Oreochromis niloticus: one gene and its partners. The protein of the gene in region 2 binds, or shares a complex with, the protein of the main gene of each other region. Links are inferred from orthologs where the notes say so. Each region holds a gene or a part of one and is shown on either strand. Other genes may lie near its edges.

The links.
Region 1: ndnl2 (region 2) and nsmce2 share a complex: the UniProt entries of both Homo sapiens proteins name them as parts of the SMC5-SMC6 complex. The link is inferred for Oreochromis niloticus from reciprocal best matches to the Homo sapiens genes NSMCE3 and NSMCE2.
Region 3: ndnl2 (region 2) and nsmce4a share a complex: the UniProt entries of both Homo sapiens proteins name them as parts of the SMC5-SMC6 complex. The link is inferred for Oreochromis niloticus from reciprocal best matches to the Homo sapiens genes NSMCE3 and NSMCE4A.

What each region holds. Positions count from the first base shown.
Region 1 is NC_031976.2:11,175,481-11,185,767, reverse strand, and holds the start of nsmce2 (E3 SUMO-protein ligase NSE2), read right to left. Parts: upstream 3,854-10,287; 5' UTR 3,555-3,853; coding exon 3,440-3,554; intron 2,913-3,439; exon of another isoform or gene 2,898-2,912; coding exon of another isoform or gene 2,843-2,897; intron 2,749-2,842; coding exon 2,636-2,748; intron 2,010-2,635; coding exon 1,856-2,009; intron 991-1,855; coding exon 899-990; intron 125-898; coding exon 18-124; intron 1-17. Other genes in the region: washc5 (WASH complex subunit 5), read right to left, coding at 4,294-4,350, 4,627-4,714, 4,889-5,042, 5,284-5,380, 5,561-5,690, 5,866-5,969, 6,089-6,168, 6,242-6,344 and 9 more. UniProt on the Homo sapiens protein: E3 SUMO-protein ligase component of the SMC5-SMC6 complex, a complex involved in DNA double-strand break repair by homologous recombination. Is not be required for the stability of the complex.
Region 2 is NC_031984.2:1,637,392-1,648,060, reverse strand, and holds the start of ndnl2 (necdin-like 2), read right to left. Parts: upstream 4,572-10,669; 5' UTR 4,460-4,571; exon of another isoform or gene 4,434-4,459; intron 3,373-4,433; 5' UTR 3,360-3,372; coding exon 3,312-3,359; intron 1,681-3,311; coding exon 1,561-1,680; intron 1,473-1,560; coding exon 1,409-1,472; intron 657-1,408; coding exon 577-656; intron 488-576; coding exon 393-487; intron 62-392; coding exon 1-61. Other genes in the region: si:dkey-150i13.2 (mitochondrial carnitine/acylcarnitine carrier protein), read left to right, coding at 7,370-7,471, 8,284-8,370, 8,552-8,679, 10,375-10,465. UniProt on the Homo sapiens protein: Component of the SMC5-SMC6 complex, a complex involved in repair of DNA double-strand breaks by homologous recombination. The complex may promote sister chromatid homologous recombination by recruiting the SMC1-SMC3 cohesin complex to double-strand breaks.
Region 3 is NC_031978.2:22,360,842-22,371,048, reverse strand, and holds the start of nsmce4a (non-structural maintenance of chromosomes element 4 homolog A), read left to right. Parts: upstream 1-6,055; 5' UTR 6,056-6,092; coding exon 6,093-6,253; intron 6,254-6,317; coding exon of another isoform or gene 6,318-6,342; coding exon 6,343-6,569; intron 6,570-6,661; coding exon 6,662-6,742; intron 6,743-6,826; coding exon 6,827-6,957; intron 6,958-7,895; coding exon 7,896-8,041; intron 8,042-10,030; coding exon 10,031-10,130; intron 10,131-10,207. Other genes in the region: coiled-coil domain-containing protein 177, read right to left, coding at 1-39. UniProt on the Homo sapiens protein: Component of the SMC5-SMC6 complex, a complex involved in DNA double-strand breaks by homologous recombination. The complex may promote sister chromatid homologous recombination by recruiting the SMC1-SMC3 cohesin complex to double-strand breaks.

The DNA of each region.
Region 1 (10,287 bases), on a different chromosome or scaffold from region 2:
GAGATGCAGTGTCTTACCGGCATTTCTTTTTCTGGCTGTGTTTTGTTTTGATCAGGCCCAGGATTGCTGCTTCATCATAGTGGTGGTTACACTTCTTGTTCTTCACCGGGTTCGCCATTTCCACCTAGAACAGAGACACAAAAGAATAAGTTTCAAGTTACCTGTGTTTTGTTGAAAAAGCAGTTTGAACAAGCAAGCAAGCGAGATCAGAATGATGCATTTTGCAGAAACATCATCTTACATTCAGGATTTTGTTTTTTGTTTTTTTCTGCGTAGACACATTTTGGCACCCACCTAAGATGTTTTAGCCTGAGCCAAATGAAAATAATAATAATGGATTGCATTTATATAGCGCTTTTCGAGACCCTCAAAGCGCTTTACAATTCCACTATTCATTCACTCTCACATTCACACACTGGTGGAGGCAAGCTACAGTTGTAGCCACAGCTGCCCTGCGGCAGACTGACAGAAGCGAGGCTGCCATATCGCGCCATCGGCCCCTCTGGCCATCACCAGTAGGTGGTAGGTGAAGTGTCTTGCCCAAGGACACAACGACCAAGACAGACAGAGTTGGGGATCGAACCGGCAACTTTCCGGTTACAAAATGAGCTTCCAAACCCCCTGAACCACAGTCGCCCCCGAAAAACACCAATATTGTAATAATCCTGGGACTGGTGTGAAATTTTGTCATAATTAGCCCAAATTTTTTGGATTGTGACCATGCAAACTCTAATGAGCTCACCCTTTAGTCCAATTGAATGTCTGTGCCTAATCTAAAGGAATACCCCGACACGTAGATGGACACAATGAAAACATAACACCTCTGGGGCAAAGACAGAGGCATGAAAACACACTGGATTAATCTACCTGTAATCTACAAATCTAATCAGTAATCTACCTGTGTGAGTGGGCAGGTGAAGTTGACTTGACTCTGTGTCACAGCGATGTCCTCATCGAGCTCCTCCATGCTCTCTGCTGACTCCTGGTTAGCTAAAAACAAACAATGCACATGCAGTTTGCTTCCATTTGTCCACTCAGAGTAAAAAAATTAATCAACTTGATAGTACGTACCACCATCCACCAACGTTTACTGCACACACATGCACACCCCAACTTTATACACAACATCTTTTTTTTTTTAGTCTGCAAATAAATTTCATATCTACAGTTGTTGTCCTGGCACATCTACAACTACTGAAGAACTCAAAGGCTAACTTGAGCCCAAAGTATTAAAAACTGCTCTCTATATGTGGCCTTTGTAAACTTCTCCATATGATTATGCTATTCAACATATTTATATTTCAGCCTTTAAGCAAGCAGATCTGAAACCTCAAAATGTATCCCTTAACAGGAACATGAAGTAATACTAATTCAGTGAATAATAATGGTGTTCAATGGGCTAAGCCCTCACAGAATACACTGCAATGATCACCTCGGCTCACAAAGTTCATGCTTCAAAGTAAGTTCTCACATTTGGCTCTTTTTTCAGACATTTTCATTTTGAGTCAGCTCGTGAAAATAACATTATACTTAGCATAATGTAGCCTATAATTCCTACAGAGACTCACAAAAGCATGGCACTATATGAGGCCGGCATAGCTGTAATTAGTAAGAGTTAAAAAGCAGAAAATAACAGCCACAGGGTGACAGGGAAACAATCATTCAACGGTAAACAAAGGAAGCTGCGTGTTTTAAAATGAAGCTAATTATCCTAAAAAAGGCACATCCCAAGATCTCTCTGCTCAGCAAGAAGTCCTCCGATAGCACTGCTATTATCAAAGTCCATTAGAAGTCCTGAATGCACTGCGGTGAGTCTAATTCAAGTAAATCTCTCCCGTCTCTCCACAGGCCTTACCTTGTTTGAAAGAGTTTTTGACACTTTCCTTGAAAGCCATTACTTTCTGGTGAGTGTGCAGGTCAGCATCAGAGAGTCGGGCTATTCTCTCTGTGAACTGCTCCTTCACTTTGGCAGACAGGCTGAACATAGCCTCCGGCTGTTGAGTGGTAACCTACAGTGATTGAAATGTGTTATATAATTTGCAATAATTTGTATTTAATTCAGAAATGCTTCACAAATGCCCAAGGTTTGCGTCTTCTTCTGAACATAGTGTTAAGAGTTTTCCAACTCATCGGCTACGTCACCATGGTGACCTATGCTGCACTCTGCACAAGATTATGTTCAGCCATTCCTGACGATGTGATCTAACCTGCTGAGCTGTATGTTAGTAAAGGCAGAATCAGATGCCGCTGAACAATGTGTGTGTGTTGTGGTCCCATGGCACACTTTCTGCTCTATTCCCCATTATCACTGAAAATATTTAAGTGCTGAAAAAATGTCACTAAACTGACTTTTATATTGACTCCATTATGAGTCATTATGTTTATAACTGTGTCACATTTAAGAGCTCTAATGTACAGCTCTCACTTTATGCAGAAATAGCAGCATTAACAATGCAATGATTATTTAAAGACAATAATGACATGTTCCTCTTGAGTCAAGTAGGGATCACCTGATGGGTCTACACTACAAATGGTGCATCAAAACTTTCTATACAATGAACAAAGTTTAAGCACACTGTTGTAATATCCGTTATCTCTGTCGCCTAATGCAAGGAAACCTTCAGGCTGTTCTCACCTCAGCTGTGACTTGTTGCACCACATCAACAAAGTAGTTAATCTCCCTGTCCAGCTTGGCACACTCCAGAATCATGGCCTCCATCTCTTTGATGCCCGGGTTCATCTCGTCATCTTTAACATAAAAGCACACCAAAGAAGTATTCACTTGAGCAGTCACACCATAACACACACGCACACAAACAGCTAGCAGCTCTTTGGGAATCACCTTGTTTGTGCAAAAATCCTATGTAATGTCTGTCCAATTGTGTTATCTCTGGCATTCTTCATAGATTCAACTAAAAAAAAAAAAAAATGTTACTAGCCGCCTGTCGCAAAAACACAAAGTGCCTAATGATACAACTTAAAATCAGTTCTTTGCTAAGTTATTTAATATATGTAGACATGCCACTGGGTTCCTTGAGGTAGGTGCATTCTGTTTTTTAATATTAAAGTGATTCATAGGTCCGTGTTCAATGGCTTAACAAAGAATGAAAAACATTCCTAAAAAATGGTCAATAAAAAAGCAGTCAATGTCCAAGGAAAATCCTTGCAACATTTCCAGAAAGCCCAAAGAACTGCTGCACAAGACTATTTTGAAAACATTACGAAGGTCTGGCTCCTTTTTAGCCAATGATGGGTAGCCCAAGTCTTTTGCAAAGTACTTTAAATGTACGCTCCAAAATTAGTTATAAACCTTAAAAACAAATCTAAAGCACCCAAAAACATTAATTATTCGCTTACCAGATATATTTTAACGTTTATAAATAATGTAGTGATTATAGATGGAGTTGGTGAGCTTTTTTAGAAAATCTTTAATATTTACCCTGAGCTTCCGCCAGGTCCATAGCCACGTCTGTCACAATGTCCATACCTGTCCCGATGTCAGCCTGACAGGATTTCAGACTCGACAGAGTTCCGTGAACAGCGCTCAGAGACATTGTGAAAGCTACCTTTATTACTTTGGGACTACAAACCAGAGCTAAATTTAATGTGCTATTAACGATAACGTTAGCCTAGCTTGCTAACAGGTATCTAGTTCTGCCGGCAAAATGACCGACACCTACATGAACGTCAAGTACAATCTGTTTCAGTAATGCTTTTAGTATAAAAATAACAAGCGAAACGTAAATAAACTATAGAAACTGTGGATGCTATACAAACGCACACAAATCACCCGCTAAAACGGAGCCACAACAGAAGCTAACTTCTAACTTCCGGGTATGGTTTTTCAAAGTAAAAGCTTTAACAAAATATGTTTAAACGGAAGGAAAACAAAACTGCTTCTTTAATAGAAAGAAACGTATTTATTAATCCATTTCATTTATAAATGGCACAGAATCTTAGTACATAAAGTTGTAAGAGTGATTTATTTGCATTTTAATGTTCTTTTAATTTACAATCTGTAAGTGCAAGACACTGATAGTTAGCACAATGAAATGTAAGTAAACAAATCAAAAGGCCCCACATTTGACATATCACTGTAGAATAGGCACAGTGAATAATAATAAAATAGTATTAATACCTGTGGTCACGCTTGCTGGAGCACTTAAACCTAACAAATCAGTTGTTAATTATTAGTAACACCTGTGCAGTCACTACATTGAGACAAAATGTCTGCAGTGGAAAAACATTCGGCAAAAAACCCGAATGTTTAAATGAAAATCTTCATCCATATCTTCACAGTATTGTCCTGAACTCATCAAAAATATAACTGGGCACATGAGCTTCCGCCACCTTAAAAACACAGAAAACACAAGGAAATACATGTTACTGTTACACAAATATAGTACAGTACAGATGCAAAAAATAGTATTTTAAAATCTGTTCCCATAGCTGATGGGTATTAAATCTGGCTGTCCAATAATAATGCTCCTAAGCATATTGATGTTTCAACATTTCAGCTCTACTACTACCCCTGGGTACTGTCAACTTTGTCAACTCTTATCATTTACAACCACTTAAAATATTTTCAAACACTAATACAAATAATATAGGGAAAGTTGCACCTACCTTACGTGACAGTTTTGTGTACTTCACGTAGTCTTCAAGGAACATCAGAGCTCCCACCACATCAGAAGGCATGTCAGGGATTTTCTGACTATAACAGGATCAAACGGAAGCTTTAATATGATTTCATGAGGCTATAACCAGATACATTTTATGTCCGGTAACACAATCCGCAATCATCACCAAGGAAACCTACCACACAGAATATTTGATTTCGAATCTTATTTTAGAAATCTTTCTGAAGTTGTGAAGTCTGTTTTGCTACCTTGTGCACTGCTCCATGATTGAGCGGATGAATTGACCAATGAGAGCCAGGAACTGTTGTGTGTATCTGGAGTGGAACTGCTTGAGCAGGGTGAGCAAGCCGAGCACCAGTGGAGGCCAGTCGACCGGGTCTGTTGCTTTCCTGCAGGTCATTCCTACCATAAGACAAAACATCAAATTAAAACCACATTCAGAGACATTCAGGGACTGTGCGTTAGCAGAAAAATGTGGGGAAAAACAAATCCATAATATTTAATGCCGCTTTCTGAAAAATAATAAAGTCTGCTGCAACTGAAGTAAGTGAAGAGGCGGCAAGGACTGACCCATTGTACTCAAAACTGTGTAACCTGATCTCTGATCAACTTCAAACAAAAAACTAATGGGGGAAAAAATCACCTTGGTTTTTGTTGTACTGAAGTTTAGGCAGCTGAGCAATAATAAAGAGGAAGTTGATGATGGGGAAGTACGGGAGGCGCTTTGTAGTGATGTAGATCTGTGTGAAGCATAAGTAGAACAAAAAGAGTCTGAACACGAACATCTGCTAATGTATAGCCAAAGAAAGCAAAAAACAGCTTACATTTGTGGTCGTCATTGAAAAGACTCATTTCGATTCAGGTGAAATCAGAACAAGACTAACTGATTATGTGGGAAGAGATGCCCCTTCTGTTCAAACCTTGTTGAGAGGATTGTGAATGCCAGCAGCCTCCAGGTAGGCAGTGATATCGTACAAAAGAGTGTTGTCCTCTTTAGGATAAGGCAGGGATGGGTCCTGGTAATGGGCCTCAATGTCTGCCAGCAGAGACCTGGCAAGAACATAATCAGAGTGAGCATAAAAGAACAGTGTGAGACTAAAACAGACATGATGCAATTAGCAGAAGCATCCATCACAAAAGTCATTAACACAGAGTAGCACTTGGGGGTAAGTAATGGAAACATATAAACAACGACTCAGTGGCATTATGGCAAGAATATACAGACTTGTTGAGGTTTTCCAGTGCAGCCGCCAGGTGTTTGGAGTCAAACTTGCAGGAGTAGTTAAGCTCATTAGCGATCTGCTGTCTGAGAATCTGCATCTGACCAACCTTCAATAAACATATGCATTCAAAATTATTTTATTATTATTTTATTATTTTCATCAGAAAATTGTGACAATTTTTTACTTTTATTTTCTATTCATTAACATGAGAACATGGAGCAGTACCTTCATGATGGCTTCCTGATATGTACCCCAGATCTTCTGGGATTTGGCCACAGCACTGCTGTAGACTTTGCTGGCATTTGCTACAGCAACAAAAACAATAATGAGATCTGTACAAGAAAAGGCAGGTTATAGATTCTCTAAGTGAATACCTACCCACAATGCCTTGGACTGGACTGACGGCACCTTGCAATGTTCTGAAGACCTCCACCACAGCTTTGTCCTTCAGGATGGTCTTCTGAAGTATTGTCAGGAAGTTCTGATGAGACAAACACATACATCACTACAATCTGGGAGCCATACCACATGCACTAAAGACACTGCCAAGATTGACATGATTTCAGGGTTTTATCTTTGTTGACCTGAATGGCATCTTTTTGGGGGGTGGGGTGCAATTTGGGGGGATACTGAGGTAAATATTGGGGTAAATACCTGAAGTTCCTTGACAATCATGAAGCAGAGCAGGCGGTCCAGTCCGTTAAGGCCAAATGTACCCAGGGTGTTCTGGATCTCAGAGAACAATCTGTTGTTAGTCACCTCCTGGTGGCTCTTCAGGTCATACCAGGTGTTCATCTGGTCAATGTAACATGTCAACCTATAGGAAGAACCAGTGTATTCCACCATCAATAAACTGCATAACCAAAGATTTTTTTTCTCCTCCATCCTCAGATATAAACTCAGTTATTCTGCTAATTTCACTAACTCTTATTTCACTTCCACTGTTATGTCCGATGAGACATACTTGGGATCAGTGATTCGGAGGATTTCTCTGCAGAGACGACCGATGAAGGTGGCAGACTCATCCACAGAGGGAAACTTGGGAATAGGAATGTGGGTGGACTGGTGCACACTCTGCCAGTCCTGGATCTGAAGAGAAGCAAGAAACAAGCCAATCAGCCAACTGCTATTACTGAGAAACAGCCAAACAACTAGAACACTTCTTATCTATCAGTCAGGGACAAACTGCTCTCAGTGCACTACTCAGGGAAAAGGAGAAAGCGTGTTAAGTTTGACCTTGGTTCTGAGAAAACTGTTGCACTCCTGTTCCACATTATAGTTGACGATGCGGGACACTTCCTCCTGCCAGATTTTAAGGCCATAAATGCTGACGTAGTCCTGGATGTATTCAAACGACCTGTAGAAGCCATCCATGGTGGCGCCCATCTCCTTCAACTTGGGCATCAGTTCACTGGGCTGAAAGAGTTGAGTATTTTTTCTCTTTTATTTTATTTTACTGCTGTTAATCCTTCAATATCATTGGGAAACTTAACATGGAAACTGGTCAACATACAGAATATATATTACAAACTTTAACTGAAGATTAAAAATCCATAATATACAGCAGGTGTAGTGTCTCACCTTTGCCTTTGGATTGAAGATTAAGCCTCTGTGCAATGCATAAGCCACCCTCTTCACCAGCTCCTTCCTGATGCCATCCTCCAGAAGCTGCTTAGGATCCACCTTAAACATCACAGTGTGTTAATAAAGCAAACCTGTACTGCACCAAATCCCTCAGCAGGATTGTTTTAATCTTCTGAAAGACAGAAATCTTTGTTCTCAAATTTCAGAAACCTTAATCACTGTATTTACCTTGATAATCCCAACGAGAGTAGTCTTCATCATTAAAATGCCCTCAGTGAAAATAGATATGTCATGAGTTAGTTTTGCCACCTGCAAAGACACAGAACAGAACGATGTTTAGGCATGCAAAAATATAATATATATATGAATAATATTGATGTCAATCATTGATATAAAAGCCAATGTTTTGATTGATTTTCAGTTTAAAAAACAAAAAAAGTTCCATTCTACAATGATCTTATTTTAATTTCAAGGCACTGGACTGCAATTCCAAATATGACTGAAAAAAAAATTAAAAAGTAACTTCAGTACTTCACACTCTAATTAATCCAATTCAACTAAGTCTGCTGGCACAATCTGTTTCCATATCACGCTTCCTTTTCCAATTTGTATTTCACATCAAAAGCTGTGAGCAGATTGAAAAATGTTAGCATGATTGCCTCCGACTCCCATACAGCTGATGAGGCGAGATCAAAACAGAACAAAATGAGCTCTCTTATCTATTTTTTTTTATTATTTTATTTTATACAACATCTGAAGATATTTTTTCCCTTTTCTTTACGTCAGTGACATTCTGAACATAACTCAAGGGGAAGGAGACAGTTTCATACACAACAGTTTGTCTCACTTCATAGCGAGCCGTCAGTTGGGCGTAGTCCTTTAGCTTGTCCTTATCCAGCCGTGTGGGCACCTCCATAATGTCGTGGATCTGAAGCTTGATTATTTTGGCTAGCGAAGTGAACATGCTCTCTGGGATAATTTGCAGCACCTGGAAGCAAGACGATTTTAAAAAAAAGGACTGTTTATTGTATATCCATTAGGTCAAGGATCTCAAGTATAGCCAGAAGGAAAAAATCTTCCAGCATAAAGTTATAGCTCAGAAGTTGCCACAACGTCAAGGTACAGATGCACTAAGCACTTCTTAGTGGGTACATTTGCCAAACAGATTGTTTCTCAAAAATTCATCATTCCTGCAGCTGCTACAGCACTGATACTGAAAAACGGTTTGCAGCACGCAGAGCTCATTTGTTAAAATTATGAGACTACACACTAAGAGAATATTAGACCAAAACATTTCAAAGCAGAAGCTTTTGTAAGAGGAAAGAGAAGCAGAAAAAAAATGACATCATACACTACCTTTCTCACATAGGACACCAACTCTCCAGAGTAGAACTGAGAAACACTCAGCAGGTCAGCACTGTTGGCCTGGTTGATACGCAGCAATGGAAGATCCAATGCAGATGCCAGCTGGTCTCACACACACACACACACACACACATTTTGTGTTTTAATCAGTCCAAGTGTTACACGCTGAGCAGGCTGCAAAAAAGTGACATGAATTTCCGAATTTTTTGGATGCATACTTGTGTAATGTAGACATTTTAGCGGAAAATTCGTCCGTAAAAAATACACAGAACAAAAAATGAAGTCGACAGAAATCATAAGGAAGCTCCTGATGTTTCTAAACAAGAAAAGGAAGAAACTGAGGGTTTTTTAGGCAAAAAAGTATTAATTTTTTAATTTGTTTACTCAGCACGGGTGCATGTTTAGAGCAACTTCACACTCGCTGACAAATGCAGTGGCTTGATTAGTCAGATTTGTTTATTTGGATCTAAAAAATCTCAAAAGTTCAGCTTGATTCGAAAAAATTAATGTTGCAAATTCGTTCAGCAAAGTTACGTGATCGGTGTAAACAGCTGCATTAAGAATAGGCGAGTCCAAAAACGACTGTGTATATGTTGGACGTGTAAATTTGTTCATGAAATGCTACCACAGTGAATCTGCAATACTCATACATTTCGCAAGACATTTATCTGTGATGCATGAAGATATTGGTGCAAATGAAGGGGGAAAGTAGCTCTAATATGCTAAATAATGAGTGCAACTACAATGAGTCATGAAGTAGTGAATCTGGTAAGTCGAACTGTTTGATAAAAACACTGTTTAGCACCAAGTCGACAGTCATATTGCAAGAGGAAGCAGTGGGATGTATTGTAATCGACATATTTTGTCCCACTCCTAGACATAAATAGACCCTCACCTTCAGAAATGTAGCTCTCAGTTTGGTAACCATGGATGGGTTGACTCTGATGCTCTCCTGCATAATGGATGTAAAGCTGTAAAATAAAGCATAAGTCAGGAAAAAAAGATGAATTCATCAAAACAGACAAACCAAAAACACAAGTGAAATAAATCAAAGCCAAAACACTTGCAGTGTTCTGTGGTGGTTTTGTGATGATTTGCAATATAGAAAGGTAAGCAGAATGAGTTGCTGCTGTTTTGCACACCAAGTGAAGTGCACAGTGACTGTGCTCCACTAAGATTCACTAACCTGATGACAAAATTAAGAGATACTGTGTCTATATATGACACTAGTTAAACTAACTACTTTACTCTGGCCTTATTTTGTTTATTAAGTAAACAAATAAGTAAATACCTGTCAATAATCTGCCACGCATAGGACAGATCTCCAACTATTTGCATGGTAATAAGCACTTCTTCTTTGATATTGATTGTGCGGATCATCTGGTGCAGGAACTTCCTGGTGTCAGCCAAGAACTGACAAACTTGCAGGTTGGACTCCAGCTGGTGGAACTCCTGGACCTGAAGTCCAAAAGGAG
Region 2 (10,669 bases):
TTTCATGAAAATGACGCTGAGGATCGCTAACAGCAGACCCATCTTTGGATTGGACGGGCTCCTACGCGTCACAGGAAACAGACACTTGTTACACAAATGCAGGTTTTCTGATGACGGACTCGTGTTGGCTGTGTCAGAGTCTAAAACATGCAGGTATTCAATAATTAAATCCTGCTGCTCGTACTCGCCGGCATCAGCGTTTAACTGTTTGGGTTGTGATGTAACACATGATGTCACCACTAGATGGGGCTGCAGTCTCTGCCCACTTTCTAAAGTTTAAAGTTAAAGACCTCAGACTCCTGCACACAGCGCACACAAGGACACAAACATTTGTACTGCTGATGTTTAGACACTCGTTTCCCCGGTTTATGAATATATGCATGAATACTCACCTGATCGGCGAGGCTTTGTCAGGCGTCTCCAAATTATTGACCAATATGTACATTTTATTTTTAGGGTCGATTTCCACCAGCTTCAGGCCGAACACCTGGACAGAGCAGCAGAGGAGCGCAGCGCTGAGACAGTTTCACTGTCAAATCGTGAATCGTGACGCCGATCACCTCCAACTCTACAAACCTGGTCAAACGTCCGCGCCGCCCTCTTTAAGATCTCGGGGTAAATGTTTCGGTAGTCCTTCACCACGTGTTTCACCAGGTCTGAAACGGCACAGAGGAGACGTCATCCTTCATTACTGTGCATTATGGGACATCCACGGCTGCGAGCGAGGTTTTAAAACACCGCAGACTCACAACGTCTTCTTCAGAACCCGACACGACACACTGAGGACTTTTAATATTTTTTAAAAACAAACCTATATGTGACTGCTGTTCCTCTCTGATCCTATTCTACACAAACAGGCCTGAAACAGTCCGTTTTCAGTTTAAGCCTTTGAGCTGGAATAACTTTATATTTTCATTTGGTTTTATTTGAGAATTTTCAGACAGGCTGTAATCACACAAGAGGAACGCTCAAGGTTAAGAACAAAGTTTGAGAAAACCCCTCTTGTTTTCTGAGGAAACTAAAACCTGGAGAAGTCCAGCTGCTGAACTCATTTCCCAGATGTTTATGGACTGTAGTTATGAGATGAGTGGATGCTGCACAGTGGGAAACATACTTATGAGACATGCTGCTGCTATCAAATCCAAATACTTTCTTAAAATGATAATCTTCTCACTTAAACGATGCGTTTAAGAAGCAAACACATCGTATCGAGCGTCAACACATGAACAAACTTCAGCAGCCTCTCAGTTTTCGAGGCACACTTCTGTTCCTCAGCGCTCAGTTTAACTGTTACTCCTGTTTGATTCACAGCTCAGCTGATAGAAACCTCGGAGGGTTTTTCAGTGGAAAGCTGTCGTGTATTCAAAGAGACGCGGCATCAAACGCTCCCTGGTGGTTCTGTCTGTACCTGCTCGCCGTACAGGCATCTTCTTCTGGTCCTTCACCAGGAAGTACTGCACCACCTCAGCAGTCTGCAGACAGACGAGTGACAGAAAAAAACATTAAATACATTTTACTGATCATTAAGAATCAAACTCTGGATTTCTCCTTGTTCTGTACCTTTTGGTCGACCTGTGCAGGTGTGAGCTTCTCCAGCCCTCTCTGCACCTGTGATGTACTCGGCTGAGTGAAGGCCACGTCATCATCCTCGTCCTGAGCCACCAAGTTGCCGGTGTGTCTCTGTGTGGGAAAAATGTTGTCTGAAATCAGTCTCCATGAAACTCACTGAAACCCTCAGATTCTGCTTTCTTTTCTGTACGGTAACTTTGACTTTTATAGGCTGGCTGTGCAAAAGCTCTGGGAGAAGATGGAGACACGATAGGGTTCTTGCAATAATCGCCAAACGGACAGACCTCCAGAGGGTCAACGCCAAAAACCATCAAGTCCAACCAATCAAAGCTACTAGGTCTCAAAGAGAAGGAGCAGCAATCAATGAGCTCCTGGCCTCCATGCTGCCCCAAGCATCTGACTGCATCAGTCTGAGACGAGGTGGCAGTGACGCTACATTCACACTCAGCCTCCTTTGCTATGAAAAAATTTCCCGACAACGTCAGTGCCCTGTTTCTTTCAGAAGATCGGCTTGGAGCACACGCAACTTTAAAAAAAAATCACTGGGAAGAGAGATCCAGCAGCCGAAACCAGTTCAGGATGGTTATGGTTGGTCTGAGCTCGCAGCCGGAACCCTCCACAGGTCAAAATCTTGGCTTTGCTGCTACGCTTAGACCTCAAAGTCGCAGCCCGTATATTGATGTCAAGAAATATAACACAGTTTGGCCCTTAAAGTGACTTTTTCTGTTAGGGAGGATTTGTTTGTTGTTGAGTGCAATGTTAAAATACATTTTTCTAATGATTTAACATGAAGGTGATATGAGCAGAGAGCACAAACATGCTGAGGGATCGGCTGTGTTAGTTCAGTGAGAGTCACAAACTAATGTGAACATTTGTGTCTGTGTTTGTATTTTGTTACATACGAACAAAGTGTGTCTGTCCAGAAATAGAGGACTGGTGTGTTTATTTGGTAGTTCAATGAAATCTTCAGTTAGTTTGCAGTTTTGTCTTGTTATACAAAATTGGAATAAAAAATAAAAAACAAACAAAATGCTACACTTTTGGAAATATTTGTTTGTGTTTTCTTCTTGTTTGTTTGGTTGTTTTGTACTATTTGAACACTAAAGTGAGATGACAGTGCCAGCAAGTTTGAGACCCCTGACTTCGACGAAGTGCCGATGACCCTGAGGTACCCCGCTGAAGATGTGGAAGGGTTTCCATTAAAGTGACATTCAGACTACCTCACCGCCATCAGGGACCGGCCTGTTCGTCCAGCTGCTTCAGCGGTTTCTGCTCGTGGCATCTCTGATGTTTGTCAGCCTTTGTTTATGGAAACCATGCAAAACATTTTCCAGAGCAAACATCCAGAGAGCCGGAGCTTGCTTCTGTCCCTCTGCGTCACAGACATTAAATTACTGCACTTAAATCAAACTCTATATCCCATGATGCTGAAGCGCCTACAATTGGGACACGTGGAGTGGATGTAATATTAGTTTGGCTTCAGTTTTTTTTTTTTTTTTTAAACAGTAGTTACAGTGGTAATTATTTATCAAACTACTCCTGTGAATATTTCTTCCATGCAGGAAAAAAGATTCACAGTTTGAATCTTTTGTCCTGCGTGGGTCACTGTTTTCCAGCTGCAGTGGTTTTGATCTGGACGTGGTCTCGAGTTCACCACTTTACTCTAGCGCTTCTCATTACTGTAACACTGCAGACACTCGGAGTGAAAAGGATTTCTTCTGTGGTAGAAATGAAGGACTTACTCTCTGAGAGGAGCTCTGTGTGCTGGACGGTCTTTTCCTCTGCGTCATGGCGACACACCGCCTGATAAAGGAGACAGGTAGGGTGAACAGATGTCCCTCTTTAGGTTGGACTGCACAGTATTTTTCTTCCTGGCCCCCTGCGCCACATCTCGAATGGTTCTGCAGTACATGCACTTTTCTAAAGTCTGACTTTCACATACACGAAGGGGAGGCGGTTTATCATTATCTGAAGATGATCAGCCTGTCACCAAAGGTCATTCTGTTTGCAGCTTTGCAGGAAATTATGGTGTGAGGTGATACAGCATGTGCATCATCACTGGATTAAAAATGGTAAAACTGTCAGATGTGTCTTGAAGAAGGTTTGTGATTCAGGGATACATCCCAACTGGAACAGAGGAACTGTCACCAGACAGAAGAGCAACTGAAATAACAGTGAAGCCAAACACAATACAGGAGTATTTAAGGCCATGATGTATTTACAAAGGAGGAAAGAATTATTTGACCTCATTCCTAAATTTATAAGTTTGCTCTCCTACAAAGAAACAAACAGTCTAATTTTTATGGCAGTTTTATTTTAATAGAAAGAGAATCACCCACCCCCCTTCCCAAAAAAACCATTACATAAAAGTTATAACATAATTTGAATGTTATTGGTTGAAATATGGTTGAGGTCATCCTGTACCCTCTGCAGGAAAGCAGCCCACAGCATGTTTCAGCCTCCGTGATTGGCTGTTCCGTCTCACTCCATTAAAATCAAACTACTGTAAAAATCAGTTTGTTCATTTCTTTGTAAGCGAGCAAACCTAGTTAGATCTGAAATTTCAGACTCAGCGCTGACCTGTCCCACACAAACACAGTGTTTACCCCACATTCACTTTGTTGGGACCTGATCACCGTAGCTACACCGCGTGTGTGTGTGTGTGTGTGTGTGTGTGTGTTTCTCTGTGTGTTTCGGCGCGTTTTAAACGAGAAAGTCTACAGGCTGAACAAAAACAACAACCCGGAAGTGGCCACAGATCGTTTACGCGAAAAGCAGAGCAGAGAGCGTTGCTAACTACGTGCCCTAAAATACTTCACCCGGAGTTCCCGGGATACAGCGTGGCTAACAGAAGATTCACATACTCTGTATGTTTTAGAAGATGACTCACTTTGATCCTCCACCGGTTCCAAACGGTCAAATTCCCGCTAATGGGGCTTGTAGGCGCCTGCTGATGACGTCATTTGCACTTGCCGCTTTTCCTTTCCGTTTCATTCGACAGAAATGTCGTTGGTTTCAGTCATTAATTAAATATAAATTGATTGATTTTATTTATTTTTTCCCTGTGACAGTTTGAAGGTTTATTATATCGAGAAAATTATTTTTATTTTACAAATTCACCAGAATAATAATGTTCATTAGTTTACGTGTAAAAAGGGACTAATTTGCATAATTACCAATGAACAGAAATATGAACGTTTGATAAAGACATAAATAATCACATTGATATAACTTATGATTAAATTCATTGCACAGGAGGACCCACGTGAGGAACTACTGGAATTTATTCTACAGACTAGCATATTTAAAATGAAACTAACAGAAATCCAAGATGAGCTTCATACTTCATTTAGTTAAATTGATATATTTTTTCAGACCTCTGCACCTGTTGACTTTTCGTCGGCTGTTAGCTTCTGTGATTGGTAGGAAGAGCACATGTGTAATTTTGAAATGAGATTATTAACTTATAATAAAACTTTTTATAATAAGTTAAAAAGTCTTCTCGGTATTCCATTGGAAAGTGTACCAGCCTCTGTATGAGATAAATGTAACTGTCCATACTGAAGACGAAGCTACAGACCCTTTCATCCGACTATGAATACCTCCATGTCATCCTCTGGATGAGGAAAATAATTTCCATTATTATTACTTTTAAAAATTATATTTAAAGTCCCATGTTTATTGTTGCACCAGTCTGATATTCGAGAACATAAAAATTGCTGAAAAAAAAGTGTTTCAATCTTAGAAATTCTGGATTTGAACAGTTTCAAAAGTAAAATACTGTATGTACTTTTAATTCATCACCATTTTTAATTGTCATCTTAGACTGTTTATTTAGGCTAAACAATGTGCTACATGAGATTTTAGAGTTTTATTGAATAAATGATTTTATAGGAAAATATGCAAGTCACAGTAATTAACGTGTGAACAAGAAGCACAAACATCCACCGAGGCATCTCGCTCTCTGGGCAGTACTTACTGTTAAGGGAATAATATTCTATTTTTCTATAAACATGTAAGAGTGGATAACTTTGTAAACAACCGGATATGAATAACTTGAGGTTATTATATAATAATAGAGCTCTCTCTCTCTTCCTCTTGAAAATACTTTCCTTAAAGATTGAACACATTTTAGGATCAATAAAGGCAGAAATGTAAAAGTGAGGTCAGAGGTCAAATGTAAGACAATATTAGATAGATAGATTAGATTAGATAAAACTTTATTAATCCCTTGGGTGGGTTCCTCTGGGAAATTCGGTTTCCAATAGCACAGCACCGACAGAAGTTACAGAACGTGAGCAGAATACTATATATACACATATATAAATACAGACATATTTAAATAAAATATATGAAAGGGATAAATAGAATAAATAGGAATAAGAATACAAGGGAATTGCACATTTCAAGTATTGAAGTCTATTGCACCGTTGGATATTAGCAAAAAGTATTGCACAGTGAAGTGAAGAGGCACTGCAGCTTAGTTGTTCCCCCCTCCCTTGTCCTCCTGTTTCCCCTCCCTCTCCCCTCCAGAGAGGAGTTAAACAGTCTGATGGCGTGTGGGACAAAGGAGTTTTTAAGTCTGTTGGTTCTTGATTTTGGGAGAAGCAACCTGTCACTGAACAGACTCCTCTGGTTGTTTATGGCTGTGTGCAGAGGATGCCCAGCATTGTCCATAATGTCCATCAGTTTCTTTAATGTCCTTTTCTCTGCCACTGTCACCAGAGTGTCCAGCTATTAGGATGCAACTATGATGTGAGAATCCCCATATACCAGTATCCTTTCCTTCATGTAGCCAGTACGAACAAACAAGCAGAATCTTAAGCACAGTTTTAAAGATAAAAGACGTTTTGTCAAAGTTTGATGTTATTTGACCTTGAATAAGAGGTCAGAGGTCCAAAGTACCACAATATTTACAATCCCCATATATGATTCCCTATTTTTATCCACTTCCTTGTTATTGTTGTCAATATAAACAATGTGAATGAGAAGTTTAAAATAGCCCTATACAGCATTATCATCATTTTGACCTTCAGCTCGATCCACTGACCTTGAAGGAGACGTCAAATGTGGCGTATTTTATATGTTTTATGTTACTTTGTAGATCTTGATGATACATACCACACTTTTGGGAATCATAGTTTCTTTTGGCCATTTTCCACCAATAACTCCTGAAGATGACCTTGAAGACGCTGGTGGATGGAAGCTGAATTTCAATGGACGGTTAACATGACGCCATCTGCAACCCTGCAAAGTTTGATCTGAATTTATTCAAAACTCTCGTGTTTTCAGATGGGATGACACGCAAACACTGCCGAAAGCAGAACCTCCTCAGCAGAGGTAAGGAAGTCCTTTCAGCAGTGAAGGACCCTCAGGTGTACTATTGCAGTGTAGTATTTTTACTTTGGACATTATTAAGAAATCAAATCTTTCGTCCTGTGAACACCAGAGGGCGCTGTCTCCCCTGTTTCAACCTCACCTGTGAATACACCTGCGGCAGATTTTTATGAACTACAAAAATATAAAACGCAGTGGTTTAAAGTGCGCCATATGACTAAAGCAAAGAGTTTATGGACATGTGAAGGGGTGACTGTGAAGATAAATTATTTACAGGAAAAAACTGTTCTTCTCGTTTCCGCTCAGCTCTGAGAGACAAAGTCCACGGAGAGACACACTTAGACACACACAGACAGACCCACAGACAGACAGCTGACAGTCGCACACTCCCCTCCCGGGACAGCGGCGGTGTGAGGTGGTGAGGTTCCCCGGCTGTGTGCTCGGGCCATGCGGGGTCAGCGGGATGGAGGAAAAGCCCAGAGTGTCTCCGTTCAAGAACTTCGTGGCTGGGGGTGTCGGAGGAGCGTGTCTGCTGCTGGCCGGACACCCACTGGACACCATCAAGGTGAGAGCTGCAGCCCCAGCCGAGCTTCAACGCAGCTTATTTAGATCTTTAGACACAAACATTCAGTCCACGTGTGTCCGTGTGGGGGGGTTCTCAGGTGTTTAATGTTTCTGAGGAAGTCACAGGAAATGTCAGAGATCGTGTAGGTGCTGAAGAGATTACCGACAAATCAGCTTAAACTGTTGCCGAGGCGGCCACCTGAACACGGAATAATGAGGCTGCTCAGAGCCTGCGGGAGACTGTCGAGGAAATGTCACAGCGTGGGTACAAAGTGTGCAGCTCAAACTCACGAAGTTAAAATCAGATTTATGACATAAAACAAAGTAATGCCATGAAGCATCACATTTATTGAACACATCACAACAATTAGCTGGAAACGTCTCATTATTCTCACTATAGCATTTTCACCTTTTTAAAAAACAAACAAACAAACTTATAACTTAGTTTTTTTAAGTAATAACTGCAAATGATTTGTGTAACTTTATTATTCACATATAGTAACTTTGAATGTGCAGAAACATATCGTTACAACATGTACGTTATTTTTAATCCAGATCTTTTTCTAATCTATCTAAACCACGTCAGTGTGTTTGTGTGCGACACACTGAGTCTTTGTGAAGATACAGTTTGATCACATCATCATCACAGTAACCGTCACATGAGCGCAACACCGCCCTGTTTATCGGTGACAGAGCAGCAGATGTTAGTGGGTGTCTCCTCCTGTCTGACAGCACTCAGCAATCCTCCTGTGTGTGTGTGTGTGTGTGTGTGTGTGTGTGTGTAATTCTTCTTATTTAAACTGTGTGTTTCAGGTGAGACTACAAACACAGCCCAAAGCCGCTCAGTATGTGCTCTACACAGGAACGTATGACTGCTTACGCAAGACCGTATCCAAAGAGGTGAGCGCTTTCTGCTTATTACAGCGGACAGTCACACAGACCAGAGCCAATAGTCAGCTCTGTTTTCAACATGTGACACATCAACTGAAGTACAGACACTTCAATAAAAACTAGAAACTCATTTAAAATCTTGTGTGTGTGTGTGTGTGTGTGTGTGTGTGTGTGTGTGTGTGTGTGTCAGGGCATCCTTGGTCTCTATAAAGGTATGGGGGCTCCCCTGGCAGGTGTGGCTCCTATGATGGCCATCAGTTTCTTTGGGTTTGGTCTTGGAAAACAGCTCCAACAGACGGCCTCTGGAAAACCGCTCACGTTAGTACAAACACACACACACACACACACACACACACACACACCTTCAGAGAGCTGTGCATAAATGAATGCTGCAAACATCAATGAGCTGAAGCAACGCTGTGAAGACAAGTGGGATAAAACTCCTCCACAGTGAGGTGACAGACTCATGAAGTCATGCAGGAAACCGTCGCTTCAGCTCATTCCCGTTAAAGCTGCTGAATCATGAGGTGCATTTATTCTCACACACAGCTTCTGCTTTTTGGCTTCATTTTTGTTTAAGAGTGAGTCGGTGTAAAGTGTCATGTGTTGTTGTTCATCTGAGGCTGAATTGATCCAATTTTAAGACCTGTTTAAAACCTTAGAAGTGACAGAGAGCGTACTTGTTTTTACCCCTGTCTGTGTTTGTAGACTGGAGCAGACCTGTTACACATCCAGCTGTTTTTAAAATAGGCTCAACATCAGTAATGTGTGAATATCACAGCTAAAAGGGTAGATCTAATCATTAAACGTCACCTTAACCTTCAAACACTCCTCCAGAGCTTACACACTGTCGCTTGTGTGTTTCTCTATATATAACTCTCGCTCTGCCTCCCTTCCTTCTGTTGTCATTCGCTCATTTGAAGCAGCACGCCCCCTTCACACCCCCGTCCTGTTACCCTGACATATATATGAAATGTTAAGCATGAGTTGGAGATTACTGGTAGCTTCTGTCTCACCTCTGAAGACTTTATAGCAACACAGTCATTGTGTCTGTAGTTAAGTGAGCAGTACTACAGTATCCTGTGTTCAGAGAGGACCTGATATCCTTTGTTTCCTGGCACTGATGTTCCACTGGTGGCCATAGTTATAATACTGAGCTCAGTGTATCTACAGTGCTTTTGATTTTATTTTTACATTTTATTACTTTGTTTACCCGCAAAGACCCACTGAGATTTAAAGCACTAAATACATTAAAATACATTACACATAAAATGTTACTAATTATGAAACCTCAGTGATCCAATAACAAGATAACTTCAGTTCAGGCTTCAAACCGCTCTAAACACTCAGTTTGTCAGTTTCTTTTCTACTCTTGGATCTGTATGATGTCATAAATGAGCAGCAGTCTCATTTTTGGTCTAGAAGCCCCACCCACCTTTCAATCCAACCAATTAGAAAGCTATTTTAAGAAGAGTAGCCTTAATCCACCCATCATAGCATGTCCAGTGATCTGATCTCTGAATCTTCATTTATTGTTGTAAGAATGTTTTAAAGCTGCTCTTAAAGATGCTCACGTGTGGAAGTGTGTCCAAATACTCATACCCTCAGGTTTCTTCATCAACATCCTGCTGATGTGCAGCTGACTCACAGGTGTAGCAACAAGAAACTGCTCTTTACAGACTAACTGGTGCAAATATTGCATCTGCAGCTACAGAGGCAGATGTTTCCCTCAGCAGCTGGTGGAGATTCAAAGCGAACGAATATTCAAAAAATCCTGAATTTAAATTGAAAGAATTCTGCAGCTGTGCAGAGATTGTTGTAGAAGCGGATGTTCCAGTGGAAAGAAAGCTGTTTTAAATACATACAAGATCCTGCCGGTCCTGCTGACCAGGGAAATAAAAAATTATATTAATTTAGATCATGGTTCATGATAACTGCCTGGAAGAGTACCCAGGTGTTACTGAGGTGGCTGTCTGGTAGTGAGACTGAGCTTCCATCACCTGTTCTCTTCAGGTACCATCAGATATTCCTGTCCGGCTGTCTGGCAGGAGTCTTCACTACAGTGATAGTAGCTCCAGGAGAGAGGATCAAATGTTTGCTACAGGTAAGTGTGTGTGTGTGTGTGTGTGTGTGTGTGTGTGTGTGTGTGTGTGTGTGATATAATCAGAATCCAAAGTAAACACTTGTTTCATGGCTGATTATAATTTACGATGCTTTTTGAGACCAAATGCTCTTCATTCACAGACACGTGCAGAAGTCGCTCTGCTTACATCTCCAGCTTTAAACATCTATTGTGTAACTTTTATTC
Region 3 (10,207 bases), on a different chromosome or scaffold from region 2:
GTTGTTGTTGTCTTCAAGTGCCTTGCATTTGGCCTCCATTTCTTTTCGAAAATCAGCAAAGTTATCCATGTGAATGAAATTTCTTCGTTCATTCAGGATGCCATTGAGCCGACTCCTCAGCATGCAAGTCCTCTCTTTCAGCTCCCGGTTTTCCTTTTGGAGAGAATAAATCTCATTGGGATTGGCATTTTTATGCTGTGTATTCCAGTGAGGAGGAGGAGGAGGACCACAATTATTTTTGCGGGGTCTGAGGTTGTAGTTTCCTTGGGAGATGGCAGCAAACTAACCATGTGTCTTGTATCTTAATAAAAAGACGAGTGGAGATCCTTCTTGGACACAAGAGTTGAAAACCTGTAAAAATGTTTTTTTCTAAATCGCAGACGAACTGCAGTGAAAATTTGAGAAAAGCAAATACACTGTGGTGCAGACTGAACGCGGGTCCTATATATGGGGTTTTTTTCGATGACGTCACAGTTGCCGAAACCCTTTGATGATCCCCTACCACGTGATATTAATGAGTCGAATGCATAGTTTTTGATCTCTTCCATAACAACTGTAGTTGTTGATAGTCTTCCATAACAAATGTTGTTGGGTAGATAGCTTGGACTGGGAGCACTGTAAGGTGCTAGTTCAGATTTGCAGCTACCACTCCCCGGAGTGTCGGCCAGAACACTGCTCAAGGCCCGGATGAAGGTTCAGAAGGGAGACAATGAAGACACCGAGGATAGTGCAGACTCTTGTATTGACTTCACACAGTTGAAGGTAACAGGGATTGTCAGAGGAGCAGGTATTGCATAGAGGTTTAGGTGCGTGGGTATGTGTGTGGGTGTGTGTGGTCTCTGAAAGGAACAGAAAGAACTACATTACTAAAGTGTTCACATCAATAACTCCAGAGTACATCAACATAAACACAGGTGGGAAATAACTAACATCCCCTTTAATACCATAGGCCATATATTACCCACAACTCATGCATAGACCCACTGAGAGAGCTAACACAGTACACAATTATACCCAACCACACTGCAGGAGAGTTAGCTTAGCTTAGCTTAGCACCCAGACAGAAACATAGTCATTTCCCCCCTAACTCCCAAACACATCTTATCATCACATACTCACACATCACAAACTTACGTTGGTCATTAACGCACACTTCTCAAGGAATGACCAATTCTCTGCTGGTAATCTGGAGCAGAAAAGCTCAGGTGCCTTGCCCCAGTGTTGCCAACTCCTCAGTGAGGAAAATCGCTATTGGTTGTCCTAAAAATCGCTAGAAGTCGCCAAATGACGTCATCGCCTAATTTGCATAATTGGTCATGCTAATGTAATTGTAACTTACATTGTTGGAGAGAGAAATAACATCGTGGAAGAGACATAAAGTGAGTAAAAAATACCATACATGCATTTAGAATTTATTTAGAACTATAAATTAAATTTCTTTTAGCAATTATGGTTTTTTAATGTCACAATTCCAACCCTGCACCTTTATCTGGGCTTGGACCGGCAAAAGTGACCCGAAATAGGCACTCTGGTGGAGTTACTTTCTTTGTGTGTGTGTGTGTTTACAAGTAGGTTTAAACCTTGTGATCCACAAAACAGCATAACAGTAAAAGAAGAACTGACTGTGTTACAGTCAGTGCGGGAGCAGCGGCTTCGCTCATGCGCGATTCATTTGCAGTTTGGACACATACTGTAGGTGTGAACATCTACTACCCTGATAGCAGCAGCGCGAGGACTATCCTTTGCCTGTGAGCGCTTTGGCACGGGCGAGGTGCCCACGGCAGCACCCGGTGCTTGTTGAGAGTAGGAGCGATACGCGCTTTCATGTCAAAAAGTCATCATAAATAAGTCTCCAATAACACCAGAAAAAGTCGCCAGATTTGTCGCTAGTCGCTTTTTAGAAAAAAAAGTCGCTAAGGGGGTCTGAAAACTCGCTAAATATAGCGACAAAGTCGCTAAGTTGGCAACACTGCCTTGCCCACGTTTCTCCCTGCCCATAGTCTCTCTCATACAAAGCGGTGGGGTGACCTCTACTGGCCACTCTAAAAAACTACAGGTGAAACTAACAACTGAACAGAATAAAACCATAACCACGGGGCCTTTTGTACAGTAGTTGTTGATAGTCTTGCATAACAGCTGTAGGTCCACAAGTTTTGTCATTAAAATACAGTCAGGGTAAAAACAGCGTACATTCTGTACCACATAATCAGGACATAATAAAAACGATCTAGCCTGTACCAGGTCAAAAAAAGTCCATAAACACAATCTGAGGTGAACAAGAACAACTCATTAAATATATTATACCTTGTCTTTATTTATTTATTTAGCAAAAATAAAGCAGAAATGTAGAAGCAGCACGTGAAAAACTATAAATATGCTCCCACGAGTCAACAGCTTGTCAAAGCAGCAACAACTCGATATAAATGTTTTGTTTGTTTGTTTGTTTGTTTTCCTTTTTTGGTCTCAGTCTCTCGAGGGGTTACGAAGGAATTTTGCCCACTTCCACTGAAAGAGGAAACGTTACCGTTTAAGTCTGCATTCACAAAGAAATCCCCTCAGATCGAGTTTTATATAAAACTTATACTTTTAAAGTCACAATTTAATTCTTTTTTAAAGAAAGGACAATAATAATCTGATTTTCATTTGTGACATTTTGAATTGAAATCATATTTTTTTGTCATTTAAAGCACCTTGAGGCAACTGGTGTTGTGATTTGGCGCTGTATAAATAAAATTGAAATGAATTGAAGACTTGAGACGTCTGAATGATCTTGCAGAAATAGTGGTGCTATTTTCCAACAGAGTGGACCTAGAGCTGTTATGCAAGACTATCAACAACTACTGTACAAAAGGCCCCGTGGTTATGGTTTTATTCTGTTCAGTTGTTAGTTTCACCTGTAGTTTTTTAGAGTGGCCAGTAGAGGTCACCCCACCGCTCAGTAGACTGGGATTTCATAGCTGTTGGCGAAACAATGTGAGGAAGAGCCCAAAAACTGTGGAGGTAGAGTTTCCCCAACTGTTCACGGTTGTTGTCTGGATTATGAAGTGAAAGAAATAATAATAGTTCGCATAAACAATAAGAGGACAGGACATCACAGATAGTAAAATCCCATTTTGATGCCACTGTCATCTGTGTGAACCATGTTGGTGTGTTGTTTTATGGAGTTTCAACAGCAGCTCCACCTCTATGATAGTTCGATTGAAGTGATCTGAGGCCATTAAAATGAACCCTGTGTTATACACAAGCAACTCAACTAAAAAAGTCATTATATATGTTGTGGATAGGCATAGCTTTGGGTCACGTGGTGTCGGTAATAGTAGTAGTGATTGCTATATCACCTGTTCACGGCTCGAGGGAATTTTTGTGAATGAGTGGGTGATGGGGGAAGTCGACTTTTGCTAACCGCTCAAGCCTAGAATGTTTTGATCACTGTTTTTCTATAGATTTTAAGGATTTGATAACAAATGAAGGAGTTTTTAACCTGGAACTTTGAACAGCGGGCGCGTCAACATTATTCCCCTATTCAGCTGCTCGGCGACTCAAAGGCTTGACAGTCGCCAACAATATTTATTATGCCATGTCTTTAAGTATTTATTTATTTACCAACAATAAAGCATAAATGTAGAAGCAGCATGTGAAAAATTATAAATATGCTCCCACGATTCAACAGCTTGTCAACGCAGCATGTAAATGATGTTTGCCTCAGTCTCTCAAGTCGTTTTGGCACACTGAAAGAGGAAAAGTTAGGCTTTATGCCTGCAAAACTTGTACTTTTTAAGTAACTATTGAACTTTTAAAAAAAGAACGAAAACTAATAATATACTTTATTTTCTTTATTGTACACAAGTCACACGTCTGGATACCGACAGCGATGTCTTAAGACAGATATGTTCACTATTATTAGCGCACCATCTGCCGGTGAGCTCCTGCCTAGTCTGCTGAAGTTAGTTTCATATTTGACTAAAGAAACTGCATTGATTGGTTGTTTCACAGTAAACAAAAAAGTTGACTTTGGATTAATAATCTATGGTTAAAAAAAAAAAAAAAAAAAAATTATACACAAACGTCGTTATTTTAAAACTCGCCCTATTTTCACTGCCTTTCAGAGAGAATGAAAGGCAGTGAAAAAAAATATACATACATACACATATATATATATATATATATAGAGAGAGAGAGAGAGAGAGAGAGAGAGAGAGAGAGAGAGAGAGAGCGCGATGGATGAGCAGTGGATTTGCAGCATATAATTCAGCAGCAGACACAACTCTTTTGAAGTTAGACTTCATTCAGTATCAGGCACTAAGACTCTGCACAGATGCATTTAAAACAACCCCAACAGCAGCGTTACAGGTAGAGATGGGTGAGATGCCACTTGGAAGCAGAAGACAACAACTAACACTTAATTACTGGGAAAATCCACAGGGCCATGGACAGGATCACCCAACACAACCTTGCTGGGAGAAAGAAAGGTGGGTAACAAAGAGCTTTGGATGGACTTTAGGTAGAAGAGCAATAGAACTTAAATTGGACCAGTTCAAGATCAGTCAAAGATTGGCGTTACCAGCAATGCCTCGATCGATACTTTCTGATGCCACCGGGGATTTCACATTATTTGAAAAGAAGAATAGGGATGGGGCATTTAATTTAAACTCACACACAGTAGAAGCTTACATTGACCAGCATTATAATTATGTTTAAATATATACAGATGCATCAAAGAATACAGCCAGTCAAATTGGTGTAGCATTTGTTGTCCCAGAGTTCAAGGTCAAAATAGGTAAAAGGATCAATGATGGAGTGTCAGTATACACTGGAGAAATGCTAGCAATACTGTTAGCTGTTCAATGGGTAAGACATGAGACCGTTAAAAACAGCCATTTGTTCAGACTCAAGCTCGTCATTGGTCAGTTTACAGTGTAGCCACTCAGAACGTAGAGCAGATATCCTAACAGAGGTTCAGCAGACACTTTCTATAATACACATGATGGGACTTAAAGTTGTGTTTCTATGGAGTAAAAGCCAATGAATTGGCAGCTAGAGCTGCGAAGGAAGCCACAAAACATGGGGTAGTTGACCTGGGCATTAGCTTCGGTCAGACAGAGATTGGACGAGTATTGGAGTATTGAAGAGTATTGGACGGCAAGAAATGAAAAAAAGACACCAGAAACAGTGGGAGTAGGAAAGGAGGGGACGGTGTTTGTACAAAATTCAAAGGAGGGTAGGAAAAATGAGGAGGTGGTCATATCGAGAACAAGATTTGGACATGCTGGACTACACTATTCATGATAAGGAAACATAAAACAGGGAAATGTGACTACTGTGGAGAAGGGGAAACGATAGAACATGTCATCTTACACTGTCAGAAGTGCAGGTGGAGAGAAGATAACTGACCCAAAACCTCAGTAAGATAAAAATGAAACTAGATCTTATTTATTTCCTGCAAAAGGACTCTAGAAGTAAAAGTTATCAGGTCTTATTCCAGTTTTCAAAAGAGGGTAAAGAGGTGTTTGGGAGGATTTGAGTTGGGGGGTTTTTTAAGCGACGTTCCAGTCAACACTCCATACCAGTTGGTGGCGGTAATGCACCCTTCAGTTGTTTGCCAACCGCCAAAAAAATTTAGAAGAAGAAGGAATCCAAACTATCTTCGTTCATGACGACTTCTCTGACATCCAATTGGCGCGCCTTGTGTACGTTTGCCTCACAGGTACGTTGAAGCAATTATAATAAAAACTGCGCACGGGTGGATTAGTGACACTCACAACAGGCTGTGTATTTGCTTTTAACCAAGACTTTATTTGGCCGTGGCAGTCAAACGTCCAACAGTTGAGCTAAGCTAAGCGGCTATTGCTTTTGTTAGCTAACGTCGGCTAACGTTGAACATCAAAGATGTACACGAGTAAGGCGAGATATGTAACTGTGCAGGACTTCCGCGTTCGCGTTTGCAGGCACGAGAGGGTTCTGTTTTGTTATCTGACCTGTTAGAGCTAACATGACATAGTAGTCGTTTTCCAAAAGCAACTGTATGGTAAAATTTGCTAATCTGCATTTTATATTATATTTGGGCTGGGTTTACCACGTGTAAGCACTAGCATATGCGGATTTATATCTTGATTTTTTTGTGTCTTTGGCTAAAATTGGAGAAAACCCGTGTGGCTACGTTAGATATATGTACTAATAAAACACCGAGCATCTTGACAACCGAAGCCGTAAACAGACCGTTTCTGTACCCTGTCTCCAAGACTTATTTTAGAAGGTAATAAATAGCCCTGTTCATCGATAGAAACGCGCTTTGTTTATGTTTATTTGATTTCCGTCAGCCTGCTTCCCTTTCACAAAACACAGCCGAACTAGTGCGAGAGTGAAGATGAAGAGATCCAAAGGCGGTGGTGACGAGGAAGCTCCCCGGCAGAATGGCTCAGCGAGCCGAAGGAAAGCAGACCAGCAGCAAAGTGACGGGGACGAGGGTGGCAGTGACATCGGCCCAGCCGACCTGCAAGACGACGACAATGACCAGGGCCTGAGGAGAGAAATCAGGAGCAAATACAGAGACCTCATCAGCTCAGTGCAACGTGAGTGGCAGGTTTGGGGATTGCCAAAGTTGTTGATTTGTATGTATTCCAAACAAATCCTTGATGTTTGTTCTTCTTGTTTTGTTTTTCAGAGAACAGGGAAGATATGCTGAGCCCATCAAACAACAAACTAACAGAGGTTTTAGAGGAAGCAAACAAACTTTTTAAAGATGGTAGGTCTGATACATGCAAATGAATAACAGGCCAGCAGATCAATCATTTAGACCTTACAGTTTTTTGGGGGGTTTTGGTGGCAGTTCGACAGGCGAGAGAAGCAGCCCTGGATGCACAGCTCCTTGTTGTGGCTACAGACCTGGGGAAGGAGAAAGCCAGCCAGCTGTTCTCCGAGGGAACCGCTTTCGATCCCACTGCTTTTGCTGAGCATCTCGTGAGTATGATTACTGTATCATGTCTGTCCTTCAGTCACCTTGCATGAGTGGTCCATACAGACCTTGCAGTATTTCTGTCTGGATTTGCAACTCGAGCTGCACATGCTTTTGTTTTACCTTAAGTTATGTATGGTTAAAAAAAGGCAAGGAGGGCAAAACAAAGCTGACAGTAGTTTGTTTAGTGGACTCATTTGATGGCCAGACACAAACCCCAGTAATCATGAAATGTTAAATATGTGTCTGTAGGGCTGTGCGATATGACGAAATATATCGGATGATAAAATGAAAACATCTATCGTTTCATATTATACGCTATCATTTGTTTCGTGGTGTCACAAAATACACTGTTTATGGCAATATTTTTTTCGTTGTTTGGATGGTCATCGTGTGGATGCAGGCACAGAGAATACCAGCAGAAAGAGTATGGAGAGAGTTTACGGATGAGAAGCAAAAAAAAGAGCTGTCAGGTGCTCAAAATAAACCTTAGACTCAAACATTAGAACAGGCTTTTACCCGCAGCACGGCATGTAATAAATACAAAGGAAATTGCAGCCGTTACAACTTATATCTAAAAATATGTAGTTTAATGCATTGGTCCAAACACTCGACTCCAGCTGAAAACACTTCACACAAGTCGAGTTGCCCGAGATTCACAGAATTTACAGAAAATGCACTATTTTGTCATATATATCATCGGGATGAGAAATGTCTTATATCGGGATATGAGTTTCTGGTCATATGGCACAGCCCCTATGTTTCTTTATGATAACGCGTTAGCTATAGCAGCTTTGTACTAGTTTTTTTTTCCTGTTCATTTAAGTGAATAATACAGACACAAATGCTAATAAATGTAGGAAAATGTGCTTTTTTTTAAACACAACTTTCAAAGCATCACATACTGCAGTGGTCATGTGGCGATGTCTATGTTTCTCTACAGTTGTCGTTCATGGGTTTGAACCGACTAGAAGATGATGAAGACGAGCAGCAGACCACTGCTAATGGCTACCTGCCGCAGGATGCCTGGCACCGATTGGCCAGGAGAGCAGAGTGCTGCTTTAGGACAGCCCCCTCTTTCCACTACATGTGAGTGATTTAGAAAGTCTGTTTACTAGCTGGGACCGCAGTGCCAGGGTTTTTGCCTGCCAACTAAAAATAGACTGATGTTCTGTGAAGAAGCAAATTAATAAGACGGAAGCTTTCTTGGGACAAGCACACGTGGTCTTCTGCCAGTCCATAAAAGTAGAATAAGTGGTTCCAGATTAGCTGCCAGTAATCAAAGCATCCTTGAACAGCCCTGTGCCTTTTCCTACAAACTTTTCATTTCTCTTAATTCTTTTTCTTTGAAATTATTAAGCACAGGAAGGATGTAAAGTAGAAAGATTTGGGAAAGGACAACCACAGTCCTAAGGGTATCTGTTTGCACTTACACTAGGCTACTTAGTAATGTAAGGCTGAGGGCTGCTGTGCCGAAACTACAATATTCTGAGATAGAACTACAAAAAACAAGTCTTAGACACGTCTTTGCACTTTGCATCCCTACCATGTTGTGCAATTCTTGGTAAATGTGGACAAACAGGAGCAAAATATGACAACTTGAAAGACAACTTGTGCAACTGGGTTACAGTTAAGCTTTAACTCCAGTTTGACCATTTTAATGTGTCTGCTTGTTTATTTGCGAGCAGTTTTCTAAACCCACTTTGCATAGTTTGCCACAAGATAACACCTAGGGGTGGGCAATGTAGCCTCAAAACTTGGTTTTGAAACTCCAGCAACATGTGTAGTATAAAAAACACTTTATTACTTGACCAGCGTCTTCCTGGGATGATGATGATATTAGACTCACAATATTGTTACATGTTGAGCACTTCATAAAGTTGGCATGTTGGGATGTTGTACCTTGGTCAGGCTTTGCTATAGTTTATACTGGGATAATATACTTGGCCAAAGAATATGTAAAGACTTGAGTCATTTTCATCCACTGTTTGCTCCTCCTGTCACATGGAGTGCACCTAACAAGTGCTCGAGTGATGCCAGGTTGTGTCGTTTGCTGTCATAGCCTGGGTATACTCAACTTTGTACTTTTGTCTTAAACAAAACAAGTTTATTGTTTCTACCTTTAAGAGGAGGAGATTTCTTGCATATTTTACAAAGTATTTTGTGGTGTTGGAATTTCTTGGTTGTTGTTTAAGCAGTCTGGGATTGTGTCATTGTTGTGCCTGCTGGTAAACGCATGACACTGTCGTGCCACTCATATCAGGTTGCGACACTTTTATATCACATAAAAATTTATGCTGGTAAATTATGGATGGTATGATGTGGCAAAATTTTACAGCAGCAGGGTAATGCTTGCTCAGTCATGCTTAGGGTTTTGCAGTCATGTGATGTTATTTTGTCTGCTATTTTGGGAATTTGATGCTGTACGGTGACGTGAATAAGGTCCCAGTCACGCAGTCAGCAACCCCCTGGCAAGCAGCAGTCGTAAAGGAGAGAGATGTGTATTTCCTGACCAGCTGGTGAATGGTTGCTGACACAAAGAGGTCGGCCGTTCTGCACAAATATCCTCCTCTTAATTGTTTTTCACTAGCATATTGCTCCAGTTGCCTGTAGATTGCATGCAGGATGGCTTGTCTGCAGACAGTTGCCAGCAGCTCGCTGAGTGGTCTTTTTTTTTTTTTTTTTTTTACTACCACGATGGAGTTAGTTGGTGAGTGTTTGCAAACAAGTTGGTGTCTTCCATGGAAACTACAAAGCAATCTGCAGGACTAAAATGATCACAAGGATGATTTTGGTGCGGCACCCTCTTTATGGCTGATTCTACCTACCACTCACCAATCAGTCACTCCCTGGTGGCGGTGTCATGTCCAATATGGTGGACAACTCTCAAACAATGTGAGCATAATGTCATCAACGCAACCTCACCTGTGGATTTAACATATCAAAAGTTCTAAACAGAAGGCGCATTGTCAAACTATGGCGTAAGATGGAACAACACAGTGGTTTTATGTGGATACATTTTCTGATTTTTTTTTTGTTGTTGTTTTTTTTGTTTCCCATCCCTCTGGTTCTTTGCAGGATGGGCTCGTTCTATGCAGAACCACCTCCCCCGAAACAAAGGATAGAACGGCAAAGAAAAGCACCCAGCAAAGAAGCCAAAAGGATAATGCCTACTCAGGTAACTGAAATGACACTTCCATGGCTGCCGTTACCTACATGTAGTTTAAGATAAATGTAGTAGCCACCCGTCCCTGT